2 linked regions of the Schizosaccharomyces pombe genome follow. The protein of the gene in region 2 interacts with the protein of the main gene of each other region in a biochemical or structural test. Each region holds a gene or a part of one and is shown on either strand. Other genes may lie near its edges.

What was found. The genes of interacting proteins can lie anywhere in the genome.
Region 1: the proteins of nbs1 (region 2) and mdb1 form a complex in vitro, tested with the Schizosaccharomyces pombe proteins (one study listed by BioGRID).

The regions. Positions count from the first base shown.
Region 1 is NC_003424.3:2,882,293-2,887,068, forward strand, and holds mdb1 (BRCT domain protein Mdb1), read right to left. Parts: upstream 3,050-4,776; 5' UTR 2,929-3,049; coding exon 2,695-2,928; exon of another isoform or gene 2,641-2,694; coding exon 2,548-2,640; exon of another isoform or gene 2,492-2,547; coding exon 1,250-2,491; intron 1,198-1,249; coding exon 892-1,197; 3' UTR 501-891; downstream 1-500. Other genes in the region: SPOM_SPACUNK4.13C (NTPase Ylf2), read left to right, coding at 3,050-3,234, 3,300-3,340, 3,432-4,429; iph1 (metallopeptidase), read left to right, coding at 4,747-4,776. UniProt on the Schizosaccharomyces pombe protein: Involved in DNA damage response (DDR) mediated through its interaction with phosphorylated H2A proteins hta1 and hta2 which mark the discrete foci of DNA damage.
Region 2 is NC_003423.3:2,648,077-2,652,919, forward strand, and holds nbs1 (Mre11 complex BRCT domain subunit Nbs1), read right to left. Parts: upstream 2,902-4,843; 5' UTR 2,839-2,901; coding exon 2,802-2,838; intron 2,743-2,801; coding exon 2,689-2,742; exon of another isoform or gene 2,651-2,688; coding exon 2,562-2,650; exon of another isoform or gene 2,458-2,561; coding exon 2,309-2,457; exon of another isoform or gene 2,270-2,308; coding exon 2,190-2,269; exon of another isoform or gene 2,160-2,189; intron 2,148-2,159; coding exon 979-2,147; intron 933-978; coding exon 669-932; 3' UTR 501-668; downstream 1-500. Other genes in the region: SAGA complex deubiquitinating submodule subunit, TREX complex subunit Sus1, read right to left, coding at 1-240, 309-388; Prp19 complex WD repeat protein Prp17, read left to right, coding at 3,570-3,680, 3,722-4,486, 4,526-4,843. UniProt on the Schizosaccharomyces pombe protein: Component of the MRN complex, which plays a central role in double-strand break (DSB) repair, DNA recombination, maintenance of telomere integrity and meiosis.

The sequences.
Region 1 (4,776 bases), on a different chromosome or scaffold from region 2:
CCGAGGTTTAGCGCTCATTTGGCCGTGTGCGGAAGCATGTGCGGGTCTCTAAATTCACGCTTTATAAATGGTAAGATGGCGCAAAAAACTGTGTATTCCATTTAACAGCATATTTGGGTAAACCTATAAGTGCCTGATATACATATTGCGCATTTTATGAATAAATTTTATACAGTGAAGTGCAATGCATTGCAGAATCATTTGTTAGATATGCGGTATGCTTGATCTGATATGACGAGTGGATTTGCTGTGTTTTGTAGTCAATAAACAAACAACTAAACCTTTTCAAAAAATAAAATAAAATTGCAAGACTAAAAAGAAGCACTATAATGAGGCCCCTTTATTTTTATGTTTCGGAATTACCTCCTTTTACTTCCTCTTAAAACCGCAAATAAGTATATGCGTTTTTCTACTCATAAAGATTTTTACCTTTTATATCTTTTAATCGTGTAGAAATTTGTTATTTATTTTTATTAACCTTTTGTACTTCATTTCATATCATTTTATTTATTTCTTTATTTGTTTTTTTAATTGAGATGTAATAATTATAAATTTCGGGAATTGGTCAAACTATTTTTTTTCATACATTATCTGGAAAATAGAAAAAAAAGCGTATTGAAATCGATTCATTTATGTTGAGTATCTTGAATTTATTGGTTCAAGATTTTAACAATCAACTAACAGATCGCATATTTCATTAAATAACCGTGTAGGTTTTTTATCCTTCGCCCTTAAATACGCTCGTTTATTTAATATCATTATTAAAATTCTATTTTTGTATAATTTCTAATGGTCCTCCTTCATAGAAGAAACTCAAGAATATATGTTTGCAAATATACTTCTATAAATAAATAATAGACAAAGTAAACGATGTCCTCTTTACCTTTAATTTTATGTTCTTTGCTCCTTTGCACTTGGTTTGTTCCAAGATGAACGAGAGGATCGTTTTCTTCCTTGCCCGGTTCGGGATGCCTTTGAGACATTTCTTTTTCCAATTACTTTGGTGGGACTGTCAGCATCATAGTCAATCAAAAATTCATCAAAATCAATTCGATCACGCAAGATGGATAAAGCTACTAGTTCAATCTTGTACACATTTAAACCAGTAGCACTCATATTCCGTCCTTCTTGATCGTTGTCAGGTTGAGCAAGTATAATTGTGTCCTTCTCTTGAGCCCTTTTAATATCACCAACAATCTATTTAAATCATTAGCCTATCATAACTAGATATTCTCCATCTTTCACTTACCTCAGCTCCAGATGTTTCCAAAATTGAGTAAAGTCCGTGTATAGAATCCCCTACCATCGAATCTCGAATTGCCTTTGTAATGTATAGTCTTTTCCCATTGAAACACGTTCTTCTGTGGATATCGTCCAAACGAAATCCCCACTTGGCTTCTGCTTCCTCGTCTTTATATTTGTAGCTACGAAAATCTAAAACTTTACCTGATTTTATACAGTCTGTCAAGTATTGAGAAGAGACAAGTGGTATACCTAGAGAAGTCGCCAGTAAAAACTTATGTGTCCTCCGAAGTGGAGGTGAACCAAGGATGACAAAGTCGGTTTCGTCTGTGACACTTTCTTGCACCCTTAGACCATTTCTCCTTATAAAACTTTTCATCGGTTTAGTTAGGTTGAAACTCGACGTTACCAGATTTGTGTGCTTGTTTTTATTTTCAACTGCCGAGGACTGCACATTCTTGTCAGGTTGATCCTCTAAAGATGATGAGGGGAAAGAATAATTAGTGGAAATTGGTGCCTCTTCTGCTTCTCTGTTACTTTCATCCTGGGATGTGGATTCCTTCTCTTTGAGAGCGATTTCCGGCGCACTTCTTTTACTTTCTTCATTTTCGTTGGAGGGGGTTAAATCTGGCCTAACCTCTGGATTTACTTCATCACTGTGAATGCTATTGTTCTTTATAGAGCTGTCCGATATGTTTTGCTGTGGATTCACATCCTTCTCAATTGGTGAGTTTATTTCAGCACTTTGCTTTCTATCAAATACCTCTGCTGGCTTCAAGGATGGGTCTCCACTCAATGATTGCGAGACAGAAGAAGGAGATTTTGTTTCTCCTTGTATATAAATTTGGTGTGATTCAATAAATGTTGACTCATCGTCGGTCTTATTCAACTGTTTTTGATCTTCAGAAACAACCTCCTCTTCAGTGTCAGAACTATGGTCGCCTTCCACATGTTGACCGTCCAATACCAATTTTTCGTCCAAATCATTCTCAGAGTTTTCAACTTTAAGAACAGGCTCAGCGGCAGATTGCGATTCTGGAATTCTCTCAGAAAAGAGTTCCTTTTCCAATTCTAAAGCACTTTTTTCTGAAGCGAATCGCGAAAGGGGAATGACCTGGTCAGATCCTTGCCTAATTAAAGAATTGTAATTTTGTTCCAAGTTACTTGAATAATCAATTTGATCTTCATTCGCATTGATCGCTTCAAATTTTTGTTGCTGCAAATTTGGCTTCTGCGGGGTATTAGGGACCTTGGAAAATAGGTTAGTGTCTTTTTGACAATAGTATAATGAGGGAATGCACATACAGTCATAACTCCCATTTTGGATCCTTCATTCACGTTTGCATTATCCTCCTCTAATTTTGAAAAAATTACAGGAGTATCGTTGATTCTTACTCTCTAAAAAAGTATATAATTAGCTTACTCAATTAATCAATAGAAAAAAGATAATACCGTTTCGTCAAAAACATAATAAAGAAGCTTTTTGTCGCTAGCAGATGGAAGCACCGTTGTATCGGCTATTTTAACTATAGCTCGAATATTTCGAATAAAAAGTTGATGTTCTATATTTAAGAATTCAACAAGAACATCATCTGTTTCCATTTCCTTCAGATGGGAACCATCAGTAGCTAGAAAACCCCCAGAATTTACCATCCTACACCTCTGATTTCCAAACTGTATCTCCATTTTACAAATCCTGCTATTGATCGTATAAAAATTTCAAGGAGGAATTAACAATTAATGTTTTGGTTACTGCGTGAAAAAGCTTAGCAACAACTCTGTGATTAATTCATCGAATGGTTAAGAAATGCGTGGTATAGTTACAAGGATAGTGTTGTCAACGCAAAAGTGTCTACCTTCTGTAAATTGTACTAGGAGATACTATTCAAAACAAAAGGATATTTCTATTGTTCGGCAACGATTGGGACGACCTGGAAATCATTTGAAAATTGGCATTGTAGGAATGCCCAACATTGGGAAATCCACCTTATTGTACGTTTGTTCAAGGGTTTAACTGATAAATTTGCTTCATTGATCGGTATTAACAATAAATATAGTCAAATTCTTACAAAGACAAACCTGGGAAATCCTGCTAACTGTACGTTGTCATATTTTAGTCAAGTATTAGTTTTGATTATAAGTGATATAATATTTTGTATTTCTGTTGTCTAACAAAACAAATTTATAAGACCCTTTCGCTACAATCGATCCCGTTCATGCAAAAGCCCCTGTACTTGATTCACAGTATGAATTGCTTTGTGAAATTTATCAGCCTAAAACGCGTATCCCAGCGCAATTAACTATTTATGATACTGCAGGGTTGACAAGGAATTCAAGCAAGGGAGAAGGTCTTGGAAATGCGTTTCTTTCAAACATTAGATCCGTCGATGCTTTGTTTCAATTGGTACGTGCATTTCCAGAGGCTCAAGTTCCTCATGTTGAAAAGTCAGTTGATCCAGTAAGAGATCTACAAATAATACAGGAAGAGCTATTGTTAAAAGACGCAGAGTTTTTAGAATCATATTTAAAAAAGGAGGGCCGCTCGCCCAAAACATGTGCAAAAGCTCTTGATACGGCACGAAGAGCATTAGAAGTAGTATTAGGAAAAGGCCGTCAAATATCTAAAGCTGAATGGAATGACGAGCAGATTCCCATTTTAAATTCTTTAAACTTACTCACTGCCAAACCGGTGGTGTATCTGGTAAATATGGATCAAGACGATTATCTTTCCGATGAACAAGAAGCATTAAAAGGAATCAAAGAATGGGTTGAGAAAAATAGTTTTGGTGATCAAGTGATACCTCTCTCAGTTCTGTTTGAAGAACAGCTATTCATGCTTACGCCTGAAGAGGCGGCGCAGGAATGCGCTAGTTTGGGCAAAAATTCTCAATTATCAGAAATTATTTGTGCGGGATATTCTGCACTTAATTTGATACATTATTTCACAGCTAGTGAAAAAATCGTTCAAGCTTGGACTATTGCCGACGGCTCTAAGGCGCCTGACGCGGCCGGTATAATACATTCAGATTTCAAGAAGAAGTTCGTTGCAGGAGAAGTTATAAAGTTTTCTGATTTCGAAAAGTACAAATCAGTAGATGCTTGTAAAAGCGTAGGAAAGTGCAAAACGAAAGGGAAAGATTATACTGTCGAACCCGGGGATATTATTTTCTGGAAAATTGCTCGTTAGTGATAATCTAAATTAAATTAAATTAATTATAGTAAGATTTCATTAATACCGTTTTCATAATGTTTCTTTTCAAGTGTTTATTAGTTATTTGTTTACAAAACTTTATACTTGTAGGATAGCTTTAATTACATTAAATTATTTAGTGCATCGGTGTATTTTGTTAAATTGGCCTCTAAACAGTAATGCCTACGTACTGTGTGTATGTAAACACATAATTCAACCTATTGCCATATTTCTTACATATTACCCTTTTTTTGGGTGTAATAGCAGTAGTCAGAATTCTGGGTTGTTTTATCTTTTCCTTTCATAAATAAAAAATGGATGGGAAACCGCAAGTTGAAGTGATA
Region 2 (4,843 bases):
TTATTCCCTCCATTTGCTGACTCAGGAGGATTGGCCAACTTTAGAACGCAGGTCTTAATGTCTTTGAGCAAGTCCATTTTAACCGAATCGGGAATACTTTCAGTTGCAGACTGCAAGGCGCTCTCATATAGCTTTTGAAAATCAATTTTAGAATCGGAATTCACAATTCCCCGAGTGTAGTCACGTAATTGAGTTGTCCAACCGCAGGATTCAAGTTTGTATTCTAATTCATTTGCTAGCCTACATTTTTTAAATTGTTGTTTAGTTATAAAATTTTTTTTTTAAAAAAGAAAGCCTATCTTTTATACCTTTCATAATCTCCAGTTTCATATAGCTGCTCAACAATTTTCTCAGTGGTCATCTTTGTTGAAAATATGAGGTCGTACATTGCTACGCAGAAATATACCATTGCAGATGCAAACGAAATATTTAAACCAGCATTGAAAAGTAACCTTTATAATTAAATCATTTTTTAATTTAGGAGTTGAAAAATAAAATATTTGGATTTCATTCTGAATACGATATCTCAGGTAAGTAGTCAATAATAGTACAATATTATTAAAAGTGTAGCTTCTCTATTTTTTACTATAAACAAAAAAACTGACTATCAGTAATGCATTTTTTGACAGTTAATAAACTACAAAAATTCTTTGGAAATAATAGCTTTATTAAAAGTGAAACTTGAGATCATTAAATTCATCGTCTTCGTCATTATTGGTTTTAGGAGATAGTTCTTTAAATGAATTACTCGATTTTTTAGAAATTGATGATTTGCCGCTTTTGTCAGACGATGCTCCGGCAGGAATACTTTCTACTTTTGACATGAGTCTTGGTACAGGCTCTAAATCTGTATCATCTTGGTCAAACACTTCTGTTTTCTTATGCTCAGATAAAGAGAGAAAAGCTTGTAAAGGTGCTTTTTGTGAAGCTTTCTGTATGAAAAAGATTAGTCGAAATTTTCTTTATTATACCACATACCTTTTGAAATTTTTTAAAATTTTTACGGCCCGAATAATATTTTGAAGTATGCCTACTGTTAGCATTCGATTTCTCGGATGACATAATTCGAATATATTCGACAGATCCAAGGTTTCGTAAACGACGATTTTCCTCAAATGCTTTATCATCTTCAGATTCTTGGACATTCTCTGAAGGTAAACTATCTACCTCCGCATTGGCCTTTTTCTCACCGACAACATTAAGTTCTAATGGTTTGAACGGAGAAGAATTTCCTTTATCCACTGAATTATAGGAAACATACTCAACCTTGGTCTTCCCCTGACCACTGCCTGTGTTTGCCGATTTTTTTGAACTGGATTTTAAACTGTTTTTAGTTTTTTCACTATTATCACCCGATTTTTTATTTTGAGCTGAACCATTGTTTGATTGATTGCTTAAATAACCCTCAGGTTCTTTTCCAAACATTTGTTTAGGTTGTACGAAATCCATAATTGAAAGGTTTTCTAGCGTTTTTACTCGCTTGCTTTTTGGCGAACAAGGCAATGGCTTTTTTACAGAAAATAAATCATCAACGATGTTCTTTTGGATATGGCGTTGGGGTTGAATAATTTTTTGGGGGGTTGAATTAGAAGCAGTAGCATACTTTAACCTCTCAATTTCTTTTGAGATTAGTTCCCTTGAATTCCTTTCAATGATTATCTTCCATAGCTGCTCAATAGTTAAACAAAAGATACCTTCTGGGAAAGAAATCTTCTCAGAGTCATATACTGCGTTGTTTAATACAACGAAATCCGTTTTTGAAATCAATTCCTTGTCTATATCCCCAAGACTCATAAAGGTCGATATCCTCAAACCCAATAACTCCAATAAGTGGTGGGACTCACTCGACGTATTTAACATGGCGCAACTGAATCCTTCTAATGAATTTATGCAGTCTTCAGGAGATGACGGGAATTGATCGTTGTTCTTTATGATATTTTTAAAACATTCAAGCGCATCTGGCATTAGGCTGGCGTCTTCAATTACGGATTCTTTAACAGTTGATAGGTACTGAAGATAGCTATCATCTATAATTACAGTTTTTTTAAGAAAAGCATACATAGTTCCAACAGTTATACTGGACCCAGCTTGTCTGTTCATAACAAAGTGGGTAGTAGCATCGCTATCGCGTAGTCCAGTCGGTATACCTGAAAGTTGATAAGAAGTGAAAAAAAAAAAGACCGAAGTACCTAAGAGGTTTAAATTTGAAGCCCACTGGGATAACATTTCAGGGTTATCGAATTGTATACACATACTTCTCCAGTATGCACTTAAAGTTAGTAAATCATATATAGTCGATAAAACTTACTTTATCGTGAATGGACATTTACCCAGTTGTATTTTAAGATCTTTTTCTTTGTAAGAATCACCATTTTGACCAACAACTTTTTCATTAACCTTGGTTCCAAACTTCGTATCGAGGTCCTTTACTTCAAACTCGCATGGGCCACCGGTAAACTGTGCACATATTAGCTGGCATTGATTTAAAATATAAGAAAGATAAACATATAATAGAAATGAAAAATGAAAAGCTCAATATTTCCATTTAATTGGATACGTACGTAGTCTTTCTCACTTGGGGTCAAAATCGTAAAACGAGCATGGCGTTTACTAATTGATTTAGAAATCACTTGAATGTGGGACGAATCGTCTGCAATATTAGAAAATTAACAAAAATAAGAAACTTACCAGATACATTTCGACCTACAATATAAGTTCCTGGAAATAGTATCCGTGATTTTCCTGCTGTTTAGTACGTACAATACGGCCATAATGAAATTGATATAGCTAGTAAGAGATACCTTTTAGAATGTCACCCTCAGCCTCAATTATCCACATTTTTTCAACATAAAATTCTTTTTATTGAAAAAATTCAGAAACCAGAATGCTGTTTTCACAACTGAGGATGCATAGGTGCGTCGCTTTTAATTTTAGTACAATTGAAAGTAACAAAGTAACCCTTTATGATGTCCAAAAGCCCTTCGTTAAATTAGAAGCTAAATCTACTAAACCAATTCTTGAATTTGAATTGACAAAGCTTGCTTTTCAAAGCTTTCTTCAAGAAAAAGTTTAATCAACAAAAACTCTTAAAAAATTTATAATTTCAAAAAATTAGACTTACACAGGTTCTCTGTCCTAGCCTTGCAAACACAAAAAATACTGTGAGTACACTAGAAAATGAATTTACTAAAGGGGTAAACTATCGTACCAAAATGAAATTTTTAAAGTCATGAGCTTATGTGAGCAAACAAACTTCAATTAAATACTATTTATCATACGTCGTGTATATGCACTACTGGATAACTTCTTTTACAGTTTAAAAAAGTCCATGCCTCTTTAAATAACTAACTTTATTTCTAGTTTTTACTACATTCCTTTATTTTTTAATCAATGAATTATCTATTACCTATCCTAATAAGCAGAAGTATGAGTTAGCTGTAGTGTTTCATTTTCGCTAATTGATATTAGCCAGGAATCTCTCATCCTCGCTAAACCTCCCTACAGCTTAATCTTCCTTAAACCATTACCATACGAATTTGCTGGTTTCATATTCGCCGTTTGCAATTTCTATGTTGGTTGCAAACTATTCTAGTGATTCAGAAGAACAGGAGAATTCCCAATCGCCTAACATCCAACCTCTTCTGCATACTGAAAATTTAGCGCCAGCTGTGGTTGATAACGTATTTATCAAATGTTTTTTATAACATGCTAATCATTTTAGGTAAAGGATGATTTAATTGTTTCAAAGGGAGGAAACTCTAGAGAATTAGCGCGTAATGTCCCGGTTAATGAAATGGTGCAGCCTGCTTTAGGGCCTGCAAATCCATTTGTCACTAAAGAACAGGATTCTATAAAGAACAGTATTACCGGTTATGCTGAGAGGGAATATGTTCCAAATTTTGTATTTAATCAAGAATATTATGCTAATACACATGCTATTTATGGAAAACGAAATTTTGATGATAACGAAGCTACTACTTCTACAGATTTAAAAAGGAAGTCCCAGAAAATAAAAGAACGTAGAGAGGATCCTGGCGATCCATCTATCCTTGAAGGGGATGGTGCTTATAAGGGGCCATGGGCCGGATACGGTTCTGAACAATCCTCTTCACCTTTGGAGTACAGTGAATATGAAGAGGTTGAATCCCTGGATGTCAAAAGTGAAAAGGATACGGAATCTAATAACCTGGGTCAAAATGAATTATTGAAGGAACAATTAGCTACTCCAGAAGTTGAAACTCATCGCTCTAAAGAAGAGACTATACTTCATAAAGATAGATTATTTGATTATCAAAATAGAAGCTATATGCATGTCCCGAATGACGTCGGAATAAATTTATCGGAAGAGCCTGGTGAACAAACTTGTTACATTCCAAAGAAGCATATATTCACTTGGAAAGGTCATACGAAAGGTATTTCCTGCCTTAGGTTTTTTCCGATTAGTGGCCATTTACTTCTTTCTGGCTCAATGGATAATCAGATAAAGGTATGTTTGTAAGCAAAAAGATGATAAACTAATATTTAGATTTGGGAAGTTTACCATGACCGTTCTTTGCTTCGTACATTCCAAGGACACGCTCGTCCTATCCGCGATTTATCATTTAGCCAAGATGGACGATCATTCTTAAGTACTAGTTTTGATAAAACAATTAAACTCTGGGATACCGAATTAGGGAAATGTTTGAACTGCTTTAATTCAGATAGATTAACAAACTGCGTCAAATTCCAAGTAGATCCTGATAAACCCAACGAGTTTTTAGCAGGAACAGCTGACAAAAGGATCCTTCAATTTGATATCAGAAGTCCTGATATTGTTCAAGCATACGATCATCATCTCGGCGGA